2 linked regions of the Mytilus edulis genome follow. Each later gene encodes a partner of the first gene's protein in a complex. Links are inferred from orthologs where the notes say so. Each region holds a gene or a part of one and is shown on either strand. Other genes may lie near its edges.

Region 1 (7,156 bases):
ACCATGGAGACTTCCACGCAGTAGACACCAATTCTTCTTCTTCCTCTTTCTTCTTAAAAGATAGTTCCCAAAGTTGAGCCCTTGATGACAAAATGTTGTTGTTGCTTTGTGTTGCTGTTGTTGTAAGTCGTGTTGGATGACCATGACAACATATTGTTGTTAAAACAGCCATGTTTTCAGTCGAAAGCATGGTACCTGGTCAAACTAAGACTTTGATCACGTGACCACGCTAATTCATCATCATCGTTTTCATCATCATCATCATCAATAGGAGTTCTCAACTGAACACATGGTTGCAATACCTTGGTCTATAGCTGAACACATCAATTGGAGTCTTAAAAATAAACGATGGCAACGTCTACTTAGACCTGAAAGTAAACAAATGTACATGTAGTTGATTAAACCATTAACCCTAATAACGTTAAAACTTATGGATATCTTGCGTTCAATGACAAAACAGAATGCAATTGTGTAGAGTATAATAGTGTTTCATATTTTCAATCACGTTCAGTCTTCATTTCAATTACTTTAAACGTCTAAGACTACAAATCAAGAAACTTGGGGGTTGGAACAGGCAAAATGATGTTTTGAGATTTTTCAGGAATGTATTGTACTATTCTGATGCAGTCTGCACCAAAAACTTTTTCAACTACTAGTCCGAAGACCAATATTCCGACATTTTTCTTATTGGTCCAAACAAAGTTTTGCAAAAACTTACTAGTCTGAAAGAAACTTTACTAGTCTGGGGCATCGGATTAGTGGCTAACCGTGCAGACTGCAGTGATGAACCACTCGTCACATGATTGGGAGCATGTTTAAACCTGCCTTATTCTGCAAGTGCCTATGCAAAGTCAGGAGCCTATTATTTAGTGGTCCTCGTTTGTTGCGGTTACATATTTCATTTTCATTCATTATTTTTTACATAAATTGGGCCGTCAGTTTTATCTCATTTACATTAGTTATTTCGGGACCTTTTATAGTCGACTGTGATATGGGCTTAGCTCATTGTTGAAAGTCTGATGGTGACCATTGTTATTAAATTCTGTCATCTGGTCTGTTATGACGAATTGTTGTATCATTTTGTTCTCGTTCTTCACAGGACAAATGAATATATAACAAATGAAGGAAATGACACAAAATTGGCTGGATTTGCAGCTACTTCACTACTGAACCAAGTAGGTTTATAACGAAAGTGAATGTTGAAAATCTGTTCACTTGTTTGACAAGTTATGTTATCCACGTTCCATTGATATACACCTTTTCACTACATTCCCATCTGAAGTGTGTTGGCTTTGTTCACACAAAATATCGTGCCTCAAACTTTTCATTCAGAGGCATCATTTAACCGTTGTTTACCCTAACAAAACATTTTTATGGACTTAATTCATCTATTGACAAAATTTCATCCATGTAACAATAATGCCAAACTCGCACTATCATTTTCTGTTACTGATCAGATGACAGTGAAATTAAGGTCAAAACTAATTTGACATTAAAATCATATATTAATCATGTCATATGGTAGATGTGTAACCTCAGAAAAAACTACCTTGACCAAAAAATTGAGCAGGACGGACAGACAGATTCACAAACCGAACAAGTTAATGGTCCTAGGTTGGGCTTAAAATTCGTTCTTTTAACTAGCAAAATTTCAAATGGCCACTCTTTTCTCAGCTCATTGATGATGACTTTAGTTTTGTTCAACCATCTCATCAGCAATTTGTCTTGGTAACAATTCCCCCTGGAAAAGACTAATTAGCGAAAAGGTGTATTGATCTTTTGGAAATGGTCCAGATAGTTCACAGTGCATTTCTTTAGACAATATAGGAGAGAGGAGAAAAAAAATACCACCTGCACTTTCTCAATATAATTTATTTAGTTTGTACTACTACTTTTAAGACAAATTATATCAAAATTATAGAAATAGGCTCCAAACTGAAATATTGACAGCTTCTCAAGTTCTAATTTATAACCTTTTTCAGCAGGACCAAATTAAATCACTACTTATACAAGCTAATATAATTACCTTGCCCTCATCTTCCTCCTTTTACGCTTCAACCTCCTCATACGCTTCTTACGCCACTGAAAAAGAGAAGTCCAATGTAAACTTGATATAAAATTTTACCACTCATAACGAGATTCAATATGGCTGAACAAATTAGACGGAGGTTTACAAATGTAAATAGGATAATGTTAAGGAAATAAATACTCAAACATACATAGGTACATCATATCCTAGAAAAAATATGAAACGAAACAAACTATATCGTTGAAGGCCATTGGGCGACCCATAGTTAATAATTGCTATGTCATTTTGAATCCGGGTCCGTTTGCCCTGATTCATGTTCGCCCTAGTACCTGTTCGCCCTGATTATTATTTTTTTCTAATTGTTGTCTTGTCGCATTATTTTAAGTATTTGAACAAAATATGTTAAAGTTTGTTGAAAAATTGACAGAATATTAATATTGCCGCAATCAATTTATCATTTTCCCTTTGATTTGCAGAGTAGAATACTGGAATACAATGTATTTATCTTTATTGATATTTGTTAACAAAATCATTGTAATCAGTCAATCACGAAAGTATGCAGTATAAATTATTGTCATAATGAACTTGTAAATCCGTTTCATAATTTACAGTTCGTACATCATTGGTTTTATTAATTTCAAGCTGAATATTTTATTAAAATAAAACGTTTGTTTTTATTATTAATCCATCAAAAGACAAGTTTCACAATAATCAGTTATCCGAATTATTTTGTCATTGAACAATTAAAGATCATAAACAAACCATAAACTTTTAAATATTTCAATGTTTCCATAAATTTCAAGAATATACATGATATATATATACCATAGAAATATCTGAATAAGTTTATTCAACTTAAACTAAACTATACTAAATTTTAGCCCTGAATATTTTATTAATATTTTTATAGTAGGGCGAACGGACTCTGGGCGAACGAACCTAGGGCCAACATGTTATTAGGGCGAACGGTCCCGATACCTGTCATTTTGGTCTTTTGTGGAGAGTTTTCTCATTGGCATGGATTATTAACAAATTTTTGGAAAATAAGTGAAATTCCAAACGTTTCGAAGGGGAAAAATCTGTAGCTCTCATAGTAAATATATAACATTCAGACCTTTGGCTACATGTAAGGTTCCGAGGCCAATATGAAAGATGCTGGGTTTGGGAAGTTTTTTGGTACTTGCCACTCAAAATTGGTTCAGCAATAAGGTGGAAATCCAGTTACTTTTGAAACACGTGAAACAATTCAACTTTGAAAATTATATGGCTTTCTTTGAAAAGTTTTGGGGGAGGGGGTAGTCATAAATGCGCACTAAACGATGGTTCGTTGATTATGACCATTACCTGGCAGAAAAGGGGGGTCAATTTCTGGAATTGCTAGGCTATCTTAGTATTCAATTTAAGCACACGCATTGTAAATATGAATAATAAATATAATAGATATTGTTGAACAATTGGTTACTACAAGACACGAGATGTGTTGACAGACACCCACGGACTTCGGCTTCGCATGCTGCACCAGCAGTCCACATGGTCCAAGTTTTACGTTCAAAGACCTCAAATTAAAATTTATACATCACGAACAGTTTTGCCACATATCATTAGAACTCTGATATGCAGTATGTTGCAATTCACTAAGTGTCACAAATGAACTTTCTCCCCGCAACAAACAACATTCATCAATGGTCGGACGTAAATGCGTGTTATCCGACATGTTTATGTGCAAGACTAATTCGATAAAAAATATTAAGTTACATGCTTACCTTTGCTCTCATCTTGCTATATTATCTGAAAGAGATGAAAATACAACTGTAGAATAACAAATTAACAGAAGATGACAAAAAGTTAGAGTGATTCAAATGGATTTGTTTTTCGAAAATTTCATACGACCTACCAGCAACACGAAAGCGGAAGAAAGGACATAGCCTATGTTCAAAATGGGTTATTTAGCATTAGGAATAATCTATAAAATAAACATATAAATGATATCAATCACATGCAAATTCGAAACAATAAATATTTTTCTGAAATATAATATGCATCTACTTTTAGTTTATTTATTTGTTCATTTTATTTTTATAGAAAATTTAAAGACTATTGACTGGTACCTTCCAATCCTATACCTATCTTCCCTATGGTGTGTGAAGATGCGGACGGTTAACAGATTAAGCGAAAACCACTTTTAAAATGAATAGTTTACAGTCACAGTCTTCTCCTAAATCAGATGTTTCAGACAAACAGACACTATTAGCTGTTTTACAATTTCTAAAGAAAAACAACTTAAAGGTCGACCAATCTATATATCTTGATCAACTTCGTATATAATTAATTATGCCCGCTATTTCGCCCCTGTTAGTGGTAACTTGAAAATACTCTGAAGTCAGTTTCCCAAACCAATAGCCTAAATAGTCAATACAGGTCTAAACTAACAGTACATTACCTTTTATCCTAACTGAACTAAAACTTTTATTTTAAACAAACCACAACAAAAAAGATGAGCCATAGGCCTAAAGTATTGTGTAGTCAACTGTTCTCGTAGTAATCATTTCTCGATAGCAATGTGCATGGTTAAAATAAAAGTAGTACGCGAAATCGCTCATGTTTTCTATATTTGTTGGTATTTCAAGGACAGAATAAAACTTGCTTCAAGCAAGCATTAAATTCAACATTTCAAGTTTTCAGACATTTTACAACAAACAGGCTATTAATATTATTTGAACTTGGAATTATTTTTAATTATGGAATTTGCTTGATTTCGTGTTATTGAAATTTTTAATAAATTCCATGTTTAGTCTGTACTGAAATGTTCTGTGCTGCGCACAACACTTTCTATTTAACAAAGAAAATAGTATATTTTTAATAGAATGTACTGTGCTGCGCACAACACCATTGTATGGAAAGTGTTATCAAGGATTTGTATAGTACTATACAAATCCTTGGTGTTATTAACCGCTCAAAAGATCATAATACCAAATAAACATGGAATTTATAAAAAAATTTAAACACAAGAAATTATGCAAATTCCATAATTAAAAATAATTCCAAGTTCAAATAATAGCCTGTTTACAGTAAAAATAATATTTTCTGATTTTAGCCTACTTTTCCTTATTCCCTCAGTTCATAAATAGCATGTTTTCAAATGTAAACAAAACTTAGCTCGAAAAGAAGGTCAAGTCCACATACATACATGTAATACACAATTGTAAGATCAGGGATGATTCCACTATATAGTTCAGGGCCGCTGAGCGGCCCTTAAATTGGCCAGCGGCCCCCAAAAAATGTACATGAAAATGAATTCCCAATTCAGGAAAATAAAATAAAATCGATATTTCAGGAAAAGTTTCTGTCACCGATTAAGGCAACTATAATTTTTCATAGTTTGTTGTCAAAACGTTTTAAAATCCAGATAAGAATGCTGTTTACGGTCGCATCTTAGTAACAACGATTCAATTATGTCAACATGTGGGAAACAATTTAAACAGCCGAATACAATTAATTGATATGTTATGGTAGTATTGGATCTTGTAAAAGCAGATCGGCCAGCAGGTTGATAAAAATGGGTGTCAAAGCAGACCTCGGCAGAGAGCAAATTCAAATATAACATTGATGGATAAGGTTTAATGGACGCCGATCTCGTAAAAGCAGATTGCCCAGCAGAGCCAGTTATATAATATGATGAACACTTGTTTTGTAAAAGAAATTATTTCCTCAAAAGACAAAAGTTTGAGCGTTTTTTGAAAATAATGTTGATGATAGACCATTCATGAAATACGATGTCATCATTATTGAACTATTTCAAAAGTTTTGAAGATGATCCAAATAATTTTAAAGAACACTGGTTCAATGCTTTAGATATCTTATCAATCAAGTATATGAACCTTTGTAAAATTTTTGCTTTTCTGAATTCGACAATTGACCAGTTCAATTTGAAATCCATTTGAATTCAGGTAAATTTATAGAGATGACCTGCTGTTGAAAAAATACCTGATGAATGATTTTTTTCAATGGTTAATGTTAGCTGAAATATATGTTTTTATAATAGGCCTAAGTAACTATAGCTAAGATGATAGACTAGTGCATCATGTTCAATGATATTCATGTAATAACAGTAGCCCATCCAGAATTATTCAAAATGTTACAACTTACATGAACATCAGTGTACAGACATGACAGGTTAAACTTAATAATATACATTTTCCGTTTTTCAGAAAAATAATGTTATTTCGTCTTAGATTTTATGCTTAAAAAATTCCCAATTAGAATAAAAATTCCCAATTTGATGTTCAAGGGACCCATTTGAAAACACCTGGAATCATCCCTGAAGATATGGTGTGATGTCGCTATGACAATCTTAATATCTTTGTTTTGTTTATATTAGACCAGTTTATTGTTTACATGAATTAATAAGTTAAAATTAGAATAATATTAGTTTAAACATATTTATTTATAGGATTGGGAAACAAGTTATGGTAACTTATATTAATCCCTTTCCACTTTGCGGGTGCGAGTGCTGCCTTGTAGAGTATTAATTCCTGGTTCAAAACATTTGTGTAAACATTCCATGTAAATCAAAATTTTATTCATTGTCCATACATTGCAAACAAATAAACACAAGCTCTGGTAAGCTTTTAAAATTGACATTATAATACATTACACAGAAACAAAATGACATGCATTTAATAAATCACTTATTTTAGCATGTGTTCATTAATTATCCTGAATGTTGGAAGTTTGCTTTGAAGAAAGGTTTCTGAAAGATTTCTGAAAATTTCAAAATTTTTTGATCAGGGCATATATTGTACTAGTTGCGGAACCATAGCTCTTAGGTCCTTATGCTATTTTTTGACTATTTGGGGACCGTAGCTAATACTGTAGGTCATGTGAACCTTCAGTCCAAAGGTCAATATTAGGTTTTTACTGGTCTACCAGTCTGCATCGTTATCAAATAGTTCAATTTCCAAGACTAGTAAAACATTACAAACATTTACTATTGTAAGTGGTAAAAACCCTATATAAAAATAAGGAGATGTTGAACTGAGTTGTGCAAAGTTGTTCACTTTTATTGTTGTAGTGTACAGAAGAGTTGTTAAAGAAAGAGGCTGGGGTCACAGATGATGATGTTAAACC
Region 2 (7,055 bases), on another chromosome or scaffold:
TTTACTGACTAACTCCTACTGATGAAAGTGTAAAATTAATCTTACGATAAAAATATTTAGTTGAATTGTTATGGAATATTTTAGACTTACGATAAATTTTACGCTTAATATTTTGGTGAAAAGGGCTACAGGGTCCCCTACAGGGTGTTATGTAATTCGTGTAATCCTATAACCGTTCAACGTCATCTTGTAAGAGCGTTTCGTATATCTTCGTTTTTTCTCTATTCTACATCTAGGCTCGCCTAGCCAATGTCCCTTAAAGTTTGTCCTTGTTGTGATCTAACCTCTGAGAGAAGGATACCAGATTACAATCCTTAGTTATCGATTATGTCTATTGCATTGCAGCATTTACTTTTAAAAGTACTCAATAAGAAAATACCAGACAGACAATTTTTTAAAAAAATAGTTTAATTGCATGCATAATTGTCCATTGATTATTATTCTATTGCTGTGATCCCATTATTTAATATATTTTTCTTGGCTTGCTAGTTTGAAGTATTTGGTTAACTCCATTTGATATGGTTATTTGATATGTTTTAGATTGTGGTTTTTTTTCCGTTTTGTCCTCACAATGACTGATATGGGTTTGTCGACTTTACTTACCGGTTTTCTGTTGATTTTTGGCTTTAAAAGGCAATGTGCTTTCGGGTTTCATATCTACAAAAAAACTGATCTAAGATCCTTATGTTGTCACGATTAATTCTATATTGATCTTTTTCGTTACGAAAATATAGTTAAATCTGTCCAGACTGAGATGAATCAAGTGTTTTTCGTTTGGTTAATTTTTGCAAAAAATATCGTTATAGTGGATCATCTTTCCAAGTGATTGAAGTCTCCACATAGCAGTATGTGAATTAATTCAAATACAAACAATTGTATTTAGTTGTATAACTTGTATTCCATAATTCTTATCAACCCTCGACTAAAATGTTGTCATCCATCTCTTTCTCAGTCAACGGAATGGCTAAACTAATATAGTCTCTGTGAGCAATTAATATACTCGATTATGAGTGTTCCCACGTTCAATGCTTTAGACTCCTACAATAATTTTGCATCAATGTCAATGCCTTCTTGTAATCTTCAACATACTTAAAGTTAAGAAGTATTATGTAGATGCAGATATCATGTAAAAGTGCTGTGTGCCGGTTTAAAAACCCAATGGATGTTTTTGGCAGCACATATCTTACTTATTGAGAGGTGGTTTTATATAGTAGTGTTTTCTTCTTCATGCAATTTTCATATAGTGATTTTTGACGTGTTTTAGCTCACCTAGCCGGAAGGGCCAAGTGAGCCTTTCTCATCACTTTGCGTCCGTCGTCGTCGTCGTCGTCGTCCGGCGACATCTGTTAACTTTTACAAAAATCTTCTCCTCTGAAACTACTAGGCCAAATTTTACCAAACTTAGCCACAATCATCATTGGAGTATCTAGTGTCCGGTGACCCGGTCAACAAACCAAGATGGCCGCCATGGCTAAAAATAGAACAAAGGGGTAAAATGTAGTTTTTGGCTTATAACTCTGAAACCAAAGCATTTAGAGCAAATCTGACATGAGTAAAATTGTTCATCAGGTGAAGATCTATCTGCACTGAAATTTTCAGATGAATTGGACAATGGGTTGTTGGGTTGCTGCCCATGAATTGGTAATTTTATGGAAATTTTGCCGTTTTCGGTTATTATCTTGAATACTATCATAGATAGAGATAAACTGTAAAGACCAATAATGTTCAGCAAAGTAAGATCTACAAATAAGTCAACATGACCAAAATGGTCAGTTGACCCCTTAAGGAGTTATTGCCCTTTATAGTCATTTTTTACCAATTTTCCGTAAATTTTGTAGTCTTTTACAAAAATCTTCTCCTCTAAAACTACTAGGCCAAATTTTACCAAACTTAGCCACAATCATGATTGGAGTATCTAGTTTAAAAATGTGTCCGGTGACCTGGCCAACCAACCAAGATGGCCGCCATGGCTAAAAATAGAACATAGGGGTAAAAAGTAGATTTTGGCTTATAACTCTGAAACCAAAGCATTTAGAGCAAATCTGACATGGTGTATAATTGTTCATTAGGTGAAGATCTATCTGCCCTGAAATTTTCAGATGAATTGGCAATGGGTTGTTGGGTTGCTGCCCCACAATTGGTAATTTTTAAAGAAATTTTGCTGTTTTAGGTTATTATCTTGAATATTAGTATAGATAGAGATAAACTGTCAACAGCAATAATGTTCAGCAAAGTAAGATCTACATATAAGTCAACATGACCTAAATGGTCAGTTGACCCCCTCAAAGAGTTATTGCCCTTTATAGTCATTTTTTAACAATTTTCATTAATTTTACAATTTTTTGTTAATTTTTACAAAATATTTTCATCTGTGTAACTAAAGGGCCAAGTTTATTATAGATAGAGAAAATTGTAAGTGGCAAGAATGTTCAGTAAAGTAAGATCTACAAACACATCACCATCATCAAAACACAATTTTGTCATGAATTTATCTGTGTCCATTGTTTAATATGCACATAGAACAAGGTAAGCGACACAGGCTCTTGAGAGCCTTTAGTTTTTGTAGCATTCATTTTTAACATAATTTCAACTGATTCGATTTCAACATTCAAATTTTCTTTATTTTTCTTTTCAAAATTCGCTTTTAACATTCTCTTTCAACATTCACCATCGTTTTCATCATTCAACTTTCAACATTCCGATCCCAATTCGTTTTCAACTATAATTTTATAATTTTTTGTTAATTTTTACAAAACATTTTCCTCTGTGTAACTCAAGGGCCAAGTTTATTATAGATAGAGAAAATTGTAAGTGGCAAGAATGTTCAGTAAAGTAAGATCTACAAACACATCACCATCATCAAAACACAATTTTGTCATGAATCCGTCTGTGCCGGTCCTTTGTTTAATACATGTATGCACATATAGACCAAGGTGAGCGACACAGGCTCTTAAGAGTCTCTAGTTTATTACTGTTTCTCATGTCTATCTCTAAAAATTGTTCTTTTTCTCTGATGATGGTCTCATGTTTTGTATAGCGTTTTTGTTTTACTCCTGTAATTTCTTACCATATAGAAGATGCATATATTATACTAGACATCCAAGAATAGCCTCACATCAACAGAGTAGTCAACATGTAAACATGTTTTTTAATGAGCCCAATATTGAATGACTTATTTAGAGTGCGTTATGGGTCTTATAGACCTTTTTAATTCCACGAAGTACGTGTAGATGTAGTTGACCGTCCGTCCGTCCGTCCGTCCGTCTCATAATGGGTATATAGCTATTCCGGATAACTCCTATTACAGTTGATCACAGTTGAAAACGAATTGGGATCGGAATGTTGAAAACGAATGTTGAAAGTTGAATGATGAAAACGATGGTGAATGTTGAAAGAGAATGTTAAAAGCGAATTTTGAAAAGAAAAATAAAGAAAATTTGAATGTTGAAATCGAATCAGTTGAAATTATGTTAAAAATGAATGCTACAAAAACTAAAGGCTCTCAAGAGCCTGTGTCGCTCACCTTGTTCTATGTGCATATTAAACAATGGACACAGATAAATTCATGACAAAATTGTGTTTTGGTGTTCATGATGTGTTTGTAGATCTTACTTTACTGAACATTCTTGCTACTTACAATTTTCTCTATCTATAATAAACTTGGCCCTTTAGTTACACAGAGGAAATAATTTTTGTATGTATGTTCTATATCTTCCTACTTGAGTTAGAAAACCACCATGGGTTATGGTGTAAAAAGGAAGACATTTAACACAATGTATCGGTACAGATTTAATGTGAGGATTTGCCTATCCAGTTTCCCAGCCTTGCCGTGACGGGTCATACTACCAGAAAGTTAACCATGCTTTCCCAAAACAATAAGTACAATGTAATAAAGCATACGAACACACCCATTCACTTTTCACGTCCGCTCTAATCGGCATGTTCCACTCAACAAATAAAATTTTATTAAGGGCGAAAATTATATGTGGCGATTAAACATTAACTTTATGTCCTCGCATTTTCTTGATGTTCTAAGCGATTGATTTTTTCTTATGAACATAGGCGACAGTTTCCGCGGCTGACTTTATTTGTTAACTCTCTAAAGACCGACAACGTGATGTTCCATGGCCTATTTGAACTGCACATAGTTTCCCTATGAATTTTTCCGACAAGAATAGTCTACCTTGTAAGAACTAACCAATTGTGTCGATTAAAATTCCCATGAAAAAATAAAAATGAGTGTGTTCGGTGCAATGCCAATAATTGGGTGAATTATTCCACCGCCTTAACACAACGAACACCACTTTTCAGTTGGTAGCGAATAGGAAATTGAAATAGTAGCTGAAGAGGGAAAAAATGGATCCAAATCAAGGGAATTTTGCCTCATATGGCACTGGCTTGACTCCTCAGCCTATGCAGTCGCCTATGCAGTCAATTCAGGTAAATTTTGGACCAATAATTTGCAATACAGTCGGTTAAAGAGCTCACCAGAGCTCATGTTTTCTCTGTTATAATGTATATATATGCCGACTCTAAATAAAATTTACTTACTTACTTACTTACTTAATACATCATATTACTGTTTGTTCGCCTTAATTTACAGGACATCACAGGGGTTCCTACAAAATTACAAGATATAATATTTTGACGCCACAAAGTGAAAGTGATTGTTGTATGATGTCAAAGCTTCAAGAGACACAGATTCCCAATAAACAATATAAGATCTATAATTTGCCAAATAATGCAAAGTCATTTAACCAATTAAGATTTGGCTTATGACTGACTACTAAAATAATGTTTACAAATGTACATGTATGCTACGTTGGTCCTTTTAGGAATTTTATTTATGACTTCATTATGAATGTATACGTAAACAAAGAAAGGCAATCAGCCAGTTATTTTTTTGACTCCAAGTATAATTTATATAATTGGTTTTTCTTTCTCAATCAAAAAGAGTCATTGTAGAAATCCACTCAAAAACATGTAAGGAAAAAGGTGAAGACACAAAAACAATGTTCAAAGTATCTGTAAAACCATGTCAAAACTATATCTCTTGGTTGAAACTACTGAAAAATTGTTACATTTATTTCAGAGTCCAATGATGTCACCAGCAATGAGTAATTTTGGTCTTGGTTCTACTCCAAATCCAGTGATGCCACCATCAAACACAGCTAGTTTGTATCCACCAACTCCTAATCCAGGAGGGCCAATGACACCTATATCACCAGCTACACCAGCATCAGAAGGCATGGGAACTATGCCTTTAAAACCTCAACTTCAGTAAGCTGCTTTACAATTAAGACATCATTAACTTTGGTTAACTTCTGTGAAGAGTAAAGTCTCATTTCTCATGAACAAATGGTGATAGATAAAATTGAGAGTGGAAATGGGGAATGTGTCAAAGAGACAACAACCCGACCAAATAAAAAACAACAGCAGCAGAGGGTCACCAACAGGTCTTCAATGTAGCTAATGATACATGTATCTACCCTCTTTCAAAGTACAATATGCACAACCAGATAATTTTGATATGTGAGACTTATTTTACTATCATTTTTATGTCTATTTCTTTATCTCAGAAATCCACACAATGTAATACATTTTATATTTCTACTGTAATACTTGTAAATCATGTGCAAAATGTATATTATATAGAGTGCAGGTTTATTCTCAAACATACTGTTTTCTTTCAGAAACATTGTCTGTACTGTAAATCTGGGCTGTAAACTCGATTTGAAAAAAATAGCTTTACATGCAAGAAATGCAGAATACAATCCTAAACGATTTGCCGCTGTAATTATGAGAATAAGAGATCCTAGGACTACAGCTTTAATTTTTAGCTCTGGAAAAATGGTGTGTACAGGTGCCAAAAGGTAAATAAATGTGTTGAGTAAATTTGTTTAAAGTATGCCTACATGTATTTCAATTTGTCAATATATATTAATATCATATTGGAACATTATGGAAAAATATCAAATTTATTTGTATCAGCTTTAGAAATAGGAAGAACATTTAGACTTGCTGAAAGTTGCTGAGCATTTCTCCTAGCAAATACAATTAATATATGTTTCTACCATGTATGACTGTGGTGTTAAGCAGGAAATGTACATGGCATAAGCACAAACCATAAAAAAGACACCAAAGCGAACTCTGACACAAAACAGTAACTTGTTAAATTGATCAGGATTAACATCTTTGTTTTTGGCAGAAACTAATTGTCCTATATGATATGTTGTAAAGACACTTAGAAGGCATGTTTAAGAATTAACATTGAACCAATGTTTCATCAAAAGTTGGTCAACTATGACCCCACTTAGCCACTGACTAAGACCTAAGATATGCATCTTATATTAGTCCTAATACTATCAGGGTTGTGTTCAATATCGTAGCAGCTACATAGATCTACATAGTGCTACATAGATTGTTGTCTACTGAACGAGTAGCTAGCCTAGCTGCTATCAATATCTATGTAGCAGCTAGGCTACACGTTCAATAGTCATAAATCTACATAGCCCTTAGTAGCTGCTACAATATTGAACACAACCCTGATCTACAATCATACAAATTGGTATATTAATGGATCTCATGGAGGATAAGTTGTCTCCCATCAGTTGTTTGTCATTTAGACATACATGTACATGTATGTGTTTCATTCTTCACTTCTTATCACAGAGTAAACTTTTATTTAGTAGGAATATCAAATGCTCTCTTAAAACTCAAAGGTACATTTTGTACATGTACAATGTATAAGAAAATCAACCTCTATTTATACTGTTTTATTTTGGGATAAAGAATCAACACTTTTTGTTGAATCGTTTACTTTATATATTAAAAAAAAGTGTTTTTTTAGAACTGATTGTGAATGACCTCATTTCATTTTTAATGTCAGATAACTGATTCATATGTGAAACATTTTGTGATGTATGTAGCGTGTTGTATTATTTATATTGTTTTGTTTTTCTTATACAGCGAAGATCAGGCAAAATTAGCAGCCAGAAAGTATGCAAGAATAGTACAGAAACTTGGATTTGCTGTAAGTGCACTGATATGCATAA

Evidence for each region. Proteins that work in one complex are often made in the same cells at the same time.
Region 2: transcription initiation factor TFIID subunit 5-like (region 1) and TATA-box-binding protein-like share a complex: the UniProt entries of both Caenorhabditis elegans proteins name them as parts of the TFIID basal transcription factor complex. The link is inferred for Mytilus edulis from reciprocal best matches to the Caenorhabditis elegans genes taf-5 and tbp-1.

The regions. Positions count from the first base shown.
Region 1 is NC_092357.1:14,766,161-14,773,316, reverse strand, and holds the start of transcription initiation factor TFIID subunit 5-like, read left to right. Parts: upstream 1-4,137; 5' UTR 4,138-4,216; coding exon 4,217-4,315; intron 4,316-7,100; coding exon 7,101-7,156. UniProt on the Caenorhabditis elegans protein: The TFIID basal transcription factor complex plays a major role in the initiation of RNA polymerase II (Pol II)-dependent transcription.
Region 2 is NC_092346.1:58,840,883-58,847,937, reverse strand, and holds the start of TATA-box-binding protein-like, read left to right. Parts: upstream 1-4,033; 5' UTR 4,034-4,356; coding exon 4,357-4,440; intron 4,441-5,092; coding exon 5,093-5,280; intron 5,281-5,693; coding exon 5,694-5,873; intron 5,874-6,969; coding exon 6,970-7,033; intron 7,034-7,055. UniProt on the Caenorhabditis elegans protein: The TFIID basal transcription factor complex plays a major role in the initiation of RNA polymerase II (Pol II)-dependent transcription.